Linked DNA regions of Neurospora crassa OR74A. The protein of the gene in region 2 interacts with the protein of the main gene of each other region in a biochemical or structural test. Links are inferred from orthologs where the notes say so. Each region holds a gene or a part of one and is shown on either strand. Other genes may lie near its edges. The genes, in order: NCU11181 and NCU01318.

Region 1 (4,178 bases), on a different chromosome or scaffold from region 2:
GAGATTGCGAACTGTAGGGAAAAAGGGACAGGAATCCAAGCACAGTAAACGCTTGGCAGATGCTTCAAGGATCGTCGACGTCGTCACTAAATGATATCGGCTAATGGCCAGGGAAGCATGCGAAGTGGAATCTTCGGCGTCTTGGTCCTGTATATGTAGCTGATGATGATCGAAGCCTTCTGGCTTTTTGATCTTCTGACTGATCCACCCTGAAACAAGCCACAGGGAATGGCTGGACAGAAAGGTGACACGGACTGAAAGAGGGATTTGACGATAAGGGGGTTACAAAGGAAAGAATTGTTCAAGGTGATCGGGATACAACGCTGGTTGCTGGCGCAATGGTCGGTGCTTGATCGTTCTTGATGTCAGTCCTGGTGCCGGAAGCGTTGGAGTTGCGCGGGTCGGGTGGCAGATTGTTGGATGACGTCGGTCGACCCTCGCCCGGAATAGTGTACTGTGTACATGTTTAGTGGGCGGGCGAAGCCGAGGACGGGGCTCTTGCCGGGCTACGTACTAGTAGTGTCTCTTCTGCACATGCGTTCCAGCCCAACAAATGATGGCATACACGTGTTCTTACTGGGGAATCACTCCGGAACGAATCCTTGTCATTCGAGAACTAGACTAGGCTTTGTTGGAGATGTTCACGTTCATCCGTACATACAATGATTCTACAGATTGCTAGAATGACCGCTCAAACTCGGGCCGGGCTAGGTAGACACCGTGTTACTAAGGGAATAGAACAAGCTATAGGTACCGGAATCTGACGGAGAGCAAAAGATAACCTATACCGTTAGAGCCAGATAACGGCAGTGGTCAAACGTACACTAGTCCCTCCAACGTCCCATTTGTGTCTGATAAGCCTCGTGCGTATCTGTTCATTGTGAAAATACGCCCGTCAATTTTTGATATCGCGAGACCCTCCAGTTCCTTCATTGTCATCATCGTATCATATTACAAAATGTTATTACCTGACAACCATCCTGTGCTGCTCCGCATTTCATCAGACCCCTTAAACGTACTGGGACAACCACCTGATAGCCTCTCCGTATCCCTGTCTCATAACCACAGAGCACATAAACACCTCGATGGGGCGGATGCCCTCGAGAGGAACCCTGCCCTTGCCGGTCGTTTGCCAGAGCCCGAGTCTCTGCCTGAGCTCGTCCTCAGAGACGGCTTCGGGATGGTCAATCTTGTTGCCGAGCACAACGAAGGGAACCTTGGCCAACTCCTCCATCGAGAGGAGCGCGTCGATCTCGGCCTTGGCCTCGGGGAGACGCTCGTGGTCCTTGGCGTCCACGAGGAAAACGATACCGTTTACTTCGGGGAAGTAATCCTTCCAAAGACGACGGGCTGTAGATACGTCATTTGTTAGTCGAGACCGCAGCAGTAGAGCGGCTTGTCAATGTCCCGAGAGGATTTGACATAAGCCCTAAATAGGAGATGATTATCCACTCACCCTGCTGATGACCGCCAAGATCGAAAGTGGTGAACTTGACGTTGCCGACAGAAAGCTCCTCCGAAGCTACAACGAATCATGTCAGCCATAATTATTCTCTAAACATCTCGCCCTCACATGTGCGCGCATATCTGATTCGGTGTATGGAGCCAGGAACGGGAGTAGGGACGGGAAGAGTCGAGGCGAAGGGGGAGAAGGCGGAAGGTGCTCGGGTATCAAGGTCCCGGCGTTGACGGAGAAACAGTGGCAGGTGGCAGCTGCAGGTGGTTGAACTGACTCGGATGAAGAGTAGGTTGGAGAATGGCAACGCGATCATTCTTCAACATGTGTAGAAGAGTGGTCTTTCCGGCATTGTCGAGACCCAGGAAGAGCAGCTTGCCATGCTTGTTGAGCAGGCCGAGGTTGGAAAGGATATCGTAGACTGTTTGTTGGTGGCGCCATCATGTCAGCTTTGCGAGTTTCCAGACGTGTTCGTCCAATATCATCATGAACAACCCCTTCCCAAATCCCCAGCAGTCCGCATGTTCATGCTATGCATTTCCATATCCATGGTGCACGACAGTGATGAACGAAGGGATGACGGGAAGTTTGGGTAGGTAACGTGGGCGACGGATGGGATAGGGATGCGACAACATACACCAAGACCACAACCACATGGTGACGAAATGATTATCTAGAAAACACCTCTTTTGTCGATGATACGGGAAAGTCGAGGAGTTCTAGAAGAACAGGTAGTCGTGCAAAGCGCCGGTAAAGTGTTAGGCACACAAAGAGGGACCGGCGAAATCGTAGCGAGGGTGTTGATGAGGCTTCGTTGCTGGCGTCGTGGATGTTGCGATGCGAAAGCAGCTGGAAGCTATGACAAAAGTGTACGGGGCGGCGGCGGATCGAAGGCGGTCGGGCACACGCTACAAGGAAAGATGTCCATAGAAGGTTCAATGACCCACGCGAGCCCAGAAGTGCACTGCTGGCATGAACGATACGGCAGGCGAGGACAGCGCTGGACTGGCCCCTGCAATAGTCTTGTGACTGTTGGCCTGGTATTTCAGGCATTCACACGTGACCTGTCTTTTTTCCTCCCCTTTTTTGCTTGGTGCAGTGAGCGAGCATGCCCGTGGGGCAGTCGGGGGGGGGGGGGGGGGGGAAGCAAGACGGCCCGTTCAGGGGCAAAATCCCCGGCACAACCGCCCAAAAGGCCCGTCACCGCCCAAAAGAAAGGAAGAAAATAAAAGAAAACAGCGGGAAATAAGTACCTGTAAACTACCACACATGCACGCCCGCCTGCAGCTGCCAAAGCGACCGTAGCAACCGCATCAAGAAGCCATGCAGGTGGCATTGATGCAAGATTCAGGAGAAGGAGGGTTCCAGATGCCACCCGCTCAGTCCGACAAATCTCCCGTCAAGACGCCGTCACTGCTCTCGCCTGTAATCCCAGACGTTCATCGAAGAAATAGGTTCACTGAATGAAGCAAAGGAACACATTGGCTTGTTTTGAAAATTTTACTTCTTTGTTTGAGGTATGTAGGAGGAGGATCTATAGTTATGTATAGACGAGTTTCCTTCCCAACCCCAGCACTTGGTTGTGTATGTCCAAACCAAGATGTCAGCTCACAATCGCTGATACGGATTATTGCCAATCCGTTGCCATCCGTCTCGTCCCCTTCCCATCCTCCCGTCGTCTCCAGAGGTCTCAAACTCCAAGACAGGTTCTGCAGGGTATATCTACCCCCGGCCATCAAATCCGTATCTCCGCCTCTACAGAGAGTCCGATTGTGTACACGAGCGCTCTGTAAAAAGCAGCGTGCCACGTAGAAAGTGGAAAAAGTAGAGCAAGCGCAGGCAGAAAAAAAAAGAATATGTACAAAAACGTTAACAAGAAAAGAACAAGAACATACAGAACATGTCCGCCCAGGCACAGCCCAAAGGAAGCCGACCCGATGCTTGCTTGCAACTTCGAGTATGCAATTATAATGAAACGGGTGGTACAAAAGGTGTAATCAATGAGCCGGGGGATGAAAATGTAAATACCGAATGCCGGACGAGAGAAAGCCGCTGCCGCCAAACGTGGTAAACATCAAAAAAATGCCTCTCCAGTTGCCGTTGTAACCCAGGGTATAATTCGCCATGTGAATGCTGATAAACGGCCCTCGCCGTGAGTTTAATAAGAAAGAACATAGTTGCCCTGGCCGATCTTGCCAGCCATTATTAGACCAACTTCGCGCATGCGCTCGGCACCTTGTCCTGGAGGAGGTCTCTTGGGCTGAGCCTTCTCCTTGCGGGCCCGGGTGCAATACTTTTGATAATACTTTTCTTTGCGCCTCTGGCGCTTCTCCTCCAAACCCTTGACAATGTCAATGGCACCCCGAACGTGAGTGTCTTGGGTGGTGGTGCCAGCACGGGATCTGCGAGGCTGCTGCTTGTTGATGTGAGGGAACATGACAGGACCCTTGGGCAGTGACTTGGTGAATGTCAGGCCCGGTCTGAATGCGAGTGACTTGAACGCAACGCCATCGGCTCCCGTAACAGGAGAAGCAAGGGGAGACTTTGCGGAAAGAACAGGAGGCGGAGGTGATCTCATCCTGCGGGGAGAAGAGCGGTCGAACAGGTTGCGATCATTACGGCCGCGAGACTTCTTGGGGCAGGGAGAAAGACGCCTTTTGGGCGGAGGCGAGCGACAGCGCCTAGGCGAGTTCTGAGCCTTCTTTGCACGACCAATGCGGCC
Region 2 (4,581 bases):
AGAAAAAAAGCCCCAACATAATTCGATCAGAGATGAACAGGAGACAACTTACCCTTGCATCTTCCTTGGGCTGCTCCAAAAGCGCAGCAAAGTTCTCGTATCCCTCTTGGTCTTGGTAGCCGGCCTTTCTCCATTCCGCAATCGTCTCACCATGGAAGATCAGAATGTGGAAGAAGGTATCGAGCAGGAGGATGTGGGTAGGCTGAATGGAGGTAGAGTCGAGCAGAACGGGGACACCGCCTTCTTGGTCGAAGGTGTAGGAGTCGAGCGTTGGTTGAATCATGATGAGCGAGTTACTAACATCCTCATGGTTGAGAACGTGCCGATAGAATGCGGTCTCATCGGGAGAGTTGTTAAAGACTTGCAAGAACTGACTCCTACGCAAGTGGAACATGAACTGTGGGTACAGCGTGAAGTTCTTTTCCAAGCGGAACGATGACGGGTCGTCCTTGCGGTAATCGGCAAATCTGGCGCAGAGCCTGATGAGCATGCGGTCAACCCACCGGAGCACATCAGGCCCATCGTCAACCTCCGCCTTGAAAACAGCGATACGCGACATAAGCACGGCTGCTGCCTCCTGGTCAAATGACTGCGCGATGGCCGGGTCTCCGGCGGGGCCGCTGAGGTTTCGGGCAATGGTGGTCACCCGAAGGTGGAAGTGGCCAGACGAGTGCTGGTAATAAGTCAAGAACTGCATCATTCCCTTTTGGGGACTCTGCATGTTCTGGGACGGGCCGCCTTGGTTGGCGATTTCGAAGTAGATACCGTAGCTGGAGCTGGGGTCGATACCGCACATCTTCCACGTGCAAGTGTTACCTATGCCGCACTCGGTTTCGCCGACGGACGTCGATTTTTTGTTGAGAGAGACTGCATGACCAATCAACCCAGTAACCTTGAGTTCCTTCGTTGTAAGTACTTCCAAAACCGCATTGAAGCCCATGAGCAGATTGTCATCCGCGTCCTTTTCGAAAATGCGGACGAATGACTGCTTGAACATGGATGAGGTGAAGCTGTCCGTCAGAATCATGTGGCCACCCGTCGAGTTGCACAGACCCTTCATTTCAAGTAGACCAACTTGATCAAGACAGCCGGCAAAAATGTCAATAGTGTGGCCGTTGTGCGCCGTTCGCTTAGCGAGGTTGTCGTAGAACTATAATAAATGTTAGCATGACACAGACTGTTTCCTGCACCACAACTTGAAGATGAACGTACCTTGAGTGCCTTCTTGTAATACTTGATGTTGTCACGGTCGATATCGTGATGGGAGCGGATCGGTTCCCTCAGCTCGGGGCCAACAACCATGCCAGGTCCCTCAGTGGCCGGACCACCAGCAAAGAGCATAATGCGACCACCGGCATTCTGGAACGACGTTTCGAGCAGGCCAACAGCTACGGACAACGCAACACCGGTGCAGCGCAAGGCTCTGAGGTTACCGGCAACAGGCCAGGGATCCTTCTGAAGCTGCTCAATGGCCTTGGTCAACTGGAACTCGGCCTGAGAGACCGGAAGCAAGAATCTTGAGGCAGGGCCGGCCGGGAAGGGCCTGCCAGGCTGTTGCATAGGCATGCCCGGACGCATGGCAGGTTGTACGAGCCCAAGCATCTCCTGGACCTGCTTGGCCGCGTACTCCTTGTTACCGCGGAAAACATATGATTTAGGGCACTCGGTATAGCCAATCTCGTGGACCTGGGCCATGGTGCCGTATGTAATCAGGCCGACAAGGGCGTGCTCGGGCAATAGGCTCAAGCTCATGATGAGCGACTCCTTGAGAGCAGCCAAGCTGTCCTCCTCCTGGCACGTATCGACGACATAGAGGAAGATCGGAGGGGCGGGGGCGGGCCGCGAGAGCCTGTACTCGATGGTAGTGTTGGAAGGGTGCAGCTCGGGTGGAATCGCATTTGCGGTGATGTCCTTGTAGTGTGGCGGGAGAGGATTCCTCGAGAGACAGAAGGGGCAGATCCACAGGCGGGCGCGCACATCGACTTGACTGGGCGAGGGTATCAGCAATGGGCGCGACAAGTCGGGGCGACGAAGATGGCTCACCAGTAGGGGTTTAACACGGAGCGGCAGGGCTGCTTGCAACTGACGGGGTCGAACTGCAGCAGAGGCGTGTCGGGCTTCTCCTTGAGAGGGGTATAAAGGGCGCCGATGGGGACGACGAGTCTCGAAGCTTCCTGAAGAAAGGGTCAGCGATAAAGGGGTGACGCGAAGTAGCAAGTATGCGAAAGAGCGGAACTGACCATGCGGGTGCTGGGGAAGACATTCCAGCTCAGACGAACGCCATCACGGTCCTCGACCTCGCCCCATTGCTCCTTGAGGGCTTCGTAATCCATGTTGATGTCGGCGGCGGCGTCCTCGGTCGATGGTCGCAGTCGGGGATAGAGAGGAACAGCTGGAGAGGGGTGATGGTGGTGTCGGCGGTTTGTTGGATTAGAAGATTAAGGGAATTAATGTGGATGATCCGTCGTCTACGCGGTGGTAGCTCCAGAGATAGGTACGGGGCGGGCGGCGGGCAACGGGCAACGTCGTCGGGCGGCTACGTGCAAGGTGTCATTAGCTCCGAGACCTGGAACGCACGAGACACTCGAGACATCCACCGTCCACCACACAGTCCACAGCAGCTGTCTTGCGGCAGGCGGGACCTGAGGCTAGATGTGGAAGCTAGGGGGAAAAGCGGGCTCCGTGCGAGTACATACCGCGGGGGGAGGCAATAAGGTATGGACGGGATCCCAGTTGTGGTGTGTCGCCAGGAAGATGCAACAACTGAACTGAAGAACCTCTTTTTCGACGCTCCTGAAAATTCAAGGTCCACTTTAAAGTGTTGACTGTCGTCCAGGAAGCCCTGCGCAAGATCACAGAGTTAACGACGCGCTGCTCTTCTGCAATCGGTCAAGTCGTTTGCGACAAGGTGATGGGATCAAAATGTTCAGAAATACCCCAATCGCTTCTACTGCAATGGAAGCCGACTGCAACAGGCGATAGTATCAATTTCTGATTTGCGGCTCTGTTGTCATTTGCTCCCCTCCAGTTGTTGAAAAGGACAGGTACCTCGTTCCCCTCCATCGAAAGGCAGGGGGCAGCTCTGCTGACAGACGACGGGAGGCTGCTTGCCAGCTGGTGCGTAGCCGACGAGCTGACGCCAATCACCACTTACCTCACCGTGCCACCGCGGCCGCCGTGGTAAACTGCATCTCCAAGCTGCAAGTTGCAACCTTTGTTCCGTCAGCACGAAATTGTCGGATGTACCAAGTGTTTTCCCGGTGCAGTGATGTTCCCGCGGCGTCGGATCATGAATGAAAAACAACATTGGCGAATCGCGACATCTCGACATGGAAATTGAATAGGTACCTATTCAGCATCGTATGCTTGCCCTCACCATCGACGCCTCGGGAGACGTCAAGCTTTGATTCCGTTACCCTTGGGCTCCAGTCATGATTCCGACCTGTGGCCGGCTGGCCGTTGAGTTTTGGCTAGCTCTGATTAGCCTGCTCGCATCTCTGTCCTAATGCTCGGTCTTGTGTCGATCCTACCACTCATGCCAGCATTTGGTGTTCTTCAAGAACCGTACCCTGCTCGCCCCATCCTGTTTCAGCCCACTGTGTCGAGCACGACCAAAATACCTTTTTGTGTTACCGTCGGGTTATCCTGAAGAATCCGCCTGTCGCGGGGGAACTCAATCAAACAACTCGCTCGCTCGCAGGCTCAGTCAGTCAAGCCAGCAGATGGTAAACTCGCGGCTGTGCTGCATCGCACAAACGCCCGCTCTCCGGTGATCACCCTCTCTGTTCTGAGCAGGCTCACTTTTACTTGTTACTCGACGAGTAGGGATCAGCCTTATCTCCTACTGTAGTGCTGACTTGATGCAACCCTTGGGTACGCTAAGATACGAAAGGGGCCGAGCAGCCGCCAGGTAGCAGTCAACAGGCACCATTGACAGTCCACGGTGATATTACCGTGGCTCACCTCTCCCGACCTCGTTTATAATTACAGTCGGATCCTATAGGATCATCACCTACCACCATGTCTCGATGGCGCTTCAGGGGAGCTAGCCCTTTTCGTGGGTAGAAAGCTGACACGCGTAGCATTTTGCTCAGAAATTTCTTCCTCCTCTCCCATTCTTCTCTTCTCTCTCTTGTTGCCCTCTGAAATCAGTCATCATGGTCAGGAGGTCGACTTCCCTTCTGTGCTGTGTAATACAGCCGTGGATTTGCCAGGCGGGTAGCACTATCACCCTACCCAAGGCAGATGAATCAATCATCCTTCCACGACAGGTTAACGGTGCTATCAGTCCCTCGACATTTCTGCGCAGAGGCTATCAATCGTGTGAGCATTGCCGTCATTGTCTTTTTCTCAGTGCATCATGACCATCTGGCTAATCGAACCAAAGCCGCGGTTTTAAACGGGCGCGTGTACATTGACGGCGGTGAGGTCTCGTACTACAGCGGTACTGACATCACCTTTCAATACTGTAAGACTCTCCACGCATTAACTCTTGAAACTATGGAATATCCTAACTCTTCCGTAGCGAACTCCCTGCTTTCTATCGATTTGTCCCAGGACTGGACAAGTGATTCAGTTCGG

What was found.
Region 1: the proteins of NCU01318 (region 2) and NCU11181 form a complex in vitro, tested with the Saccharomyces cerevisiae proteins (6 studies listed by BioGRID, with this or other methods). The link is inferred for Neurospora crassa OR74A from reciprocal best matches to the Saccharomyces cerevisiae genes SEC23 and SAR1.

Annotation. Positions count from the first base shown.
Region 1 is NC_026503.1:3,651,418-3,655,595, forward strand, and holds NCU11181 (Ras superfamily GTPase), read right to left. Parts: upstream 2,580-4,178; 5' UTR 2,113-2,579; coding exon 2,094-2,112; intron 1,878-2,093; coding exon 1,734-1,877; intron 1,523-1,733; coding exon 1,457-1,522; intron 1,351-1,456; coding exon 1,010-1,350; 3' UTR 590-1,009; downstream 1-589. Other genes in the region: NCU00382 (hypothetical protein), read right to left, coding at 3,615-4,178. UniProt on the Saccharomyces cerevisiae protein: Small GTPase component of the coat protein complex II (COPII) which promotes the formation of transport vesicles from the endoplasmic reticulum (ER).
Region 2 is NC_026505.1:3,643,644-3,648,224, forward strand, and holds the start of NCU01318 (protein transporter sec-23), read right to left. Parts: upstream 3,014-4,581; 5' UTR 2,697-3,013; intron 2,537-2,696; 5' UTR 2,334-2,536; coding exon 2,241-2,333; intron 2,175-2,240; coding exon 2,044-2,174; intron 1,988-2,043; coding exon 1,213-1,987; intron 1,151-1,212; coding exon 53-1,150; intron 1-52. Other genes in the region: NCU01319 (hypothetical protein), read left to right, coding at 4,158-4,323, 4,388-4,468, 4,526-4,581. UniProt on the Saccharomyces cerevisiae protein: Component of the coat protein complex II (COPII) which promotes the formation of transport vesicles from the endoplasmic reticulum (ER).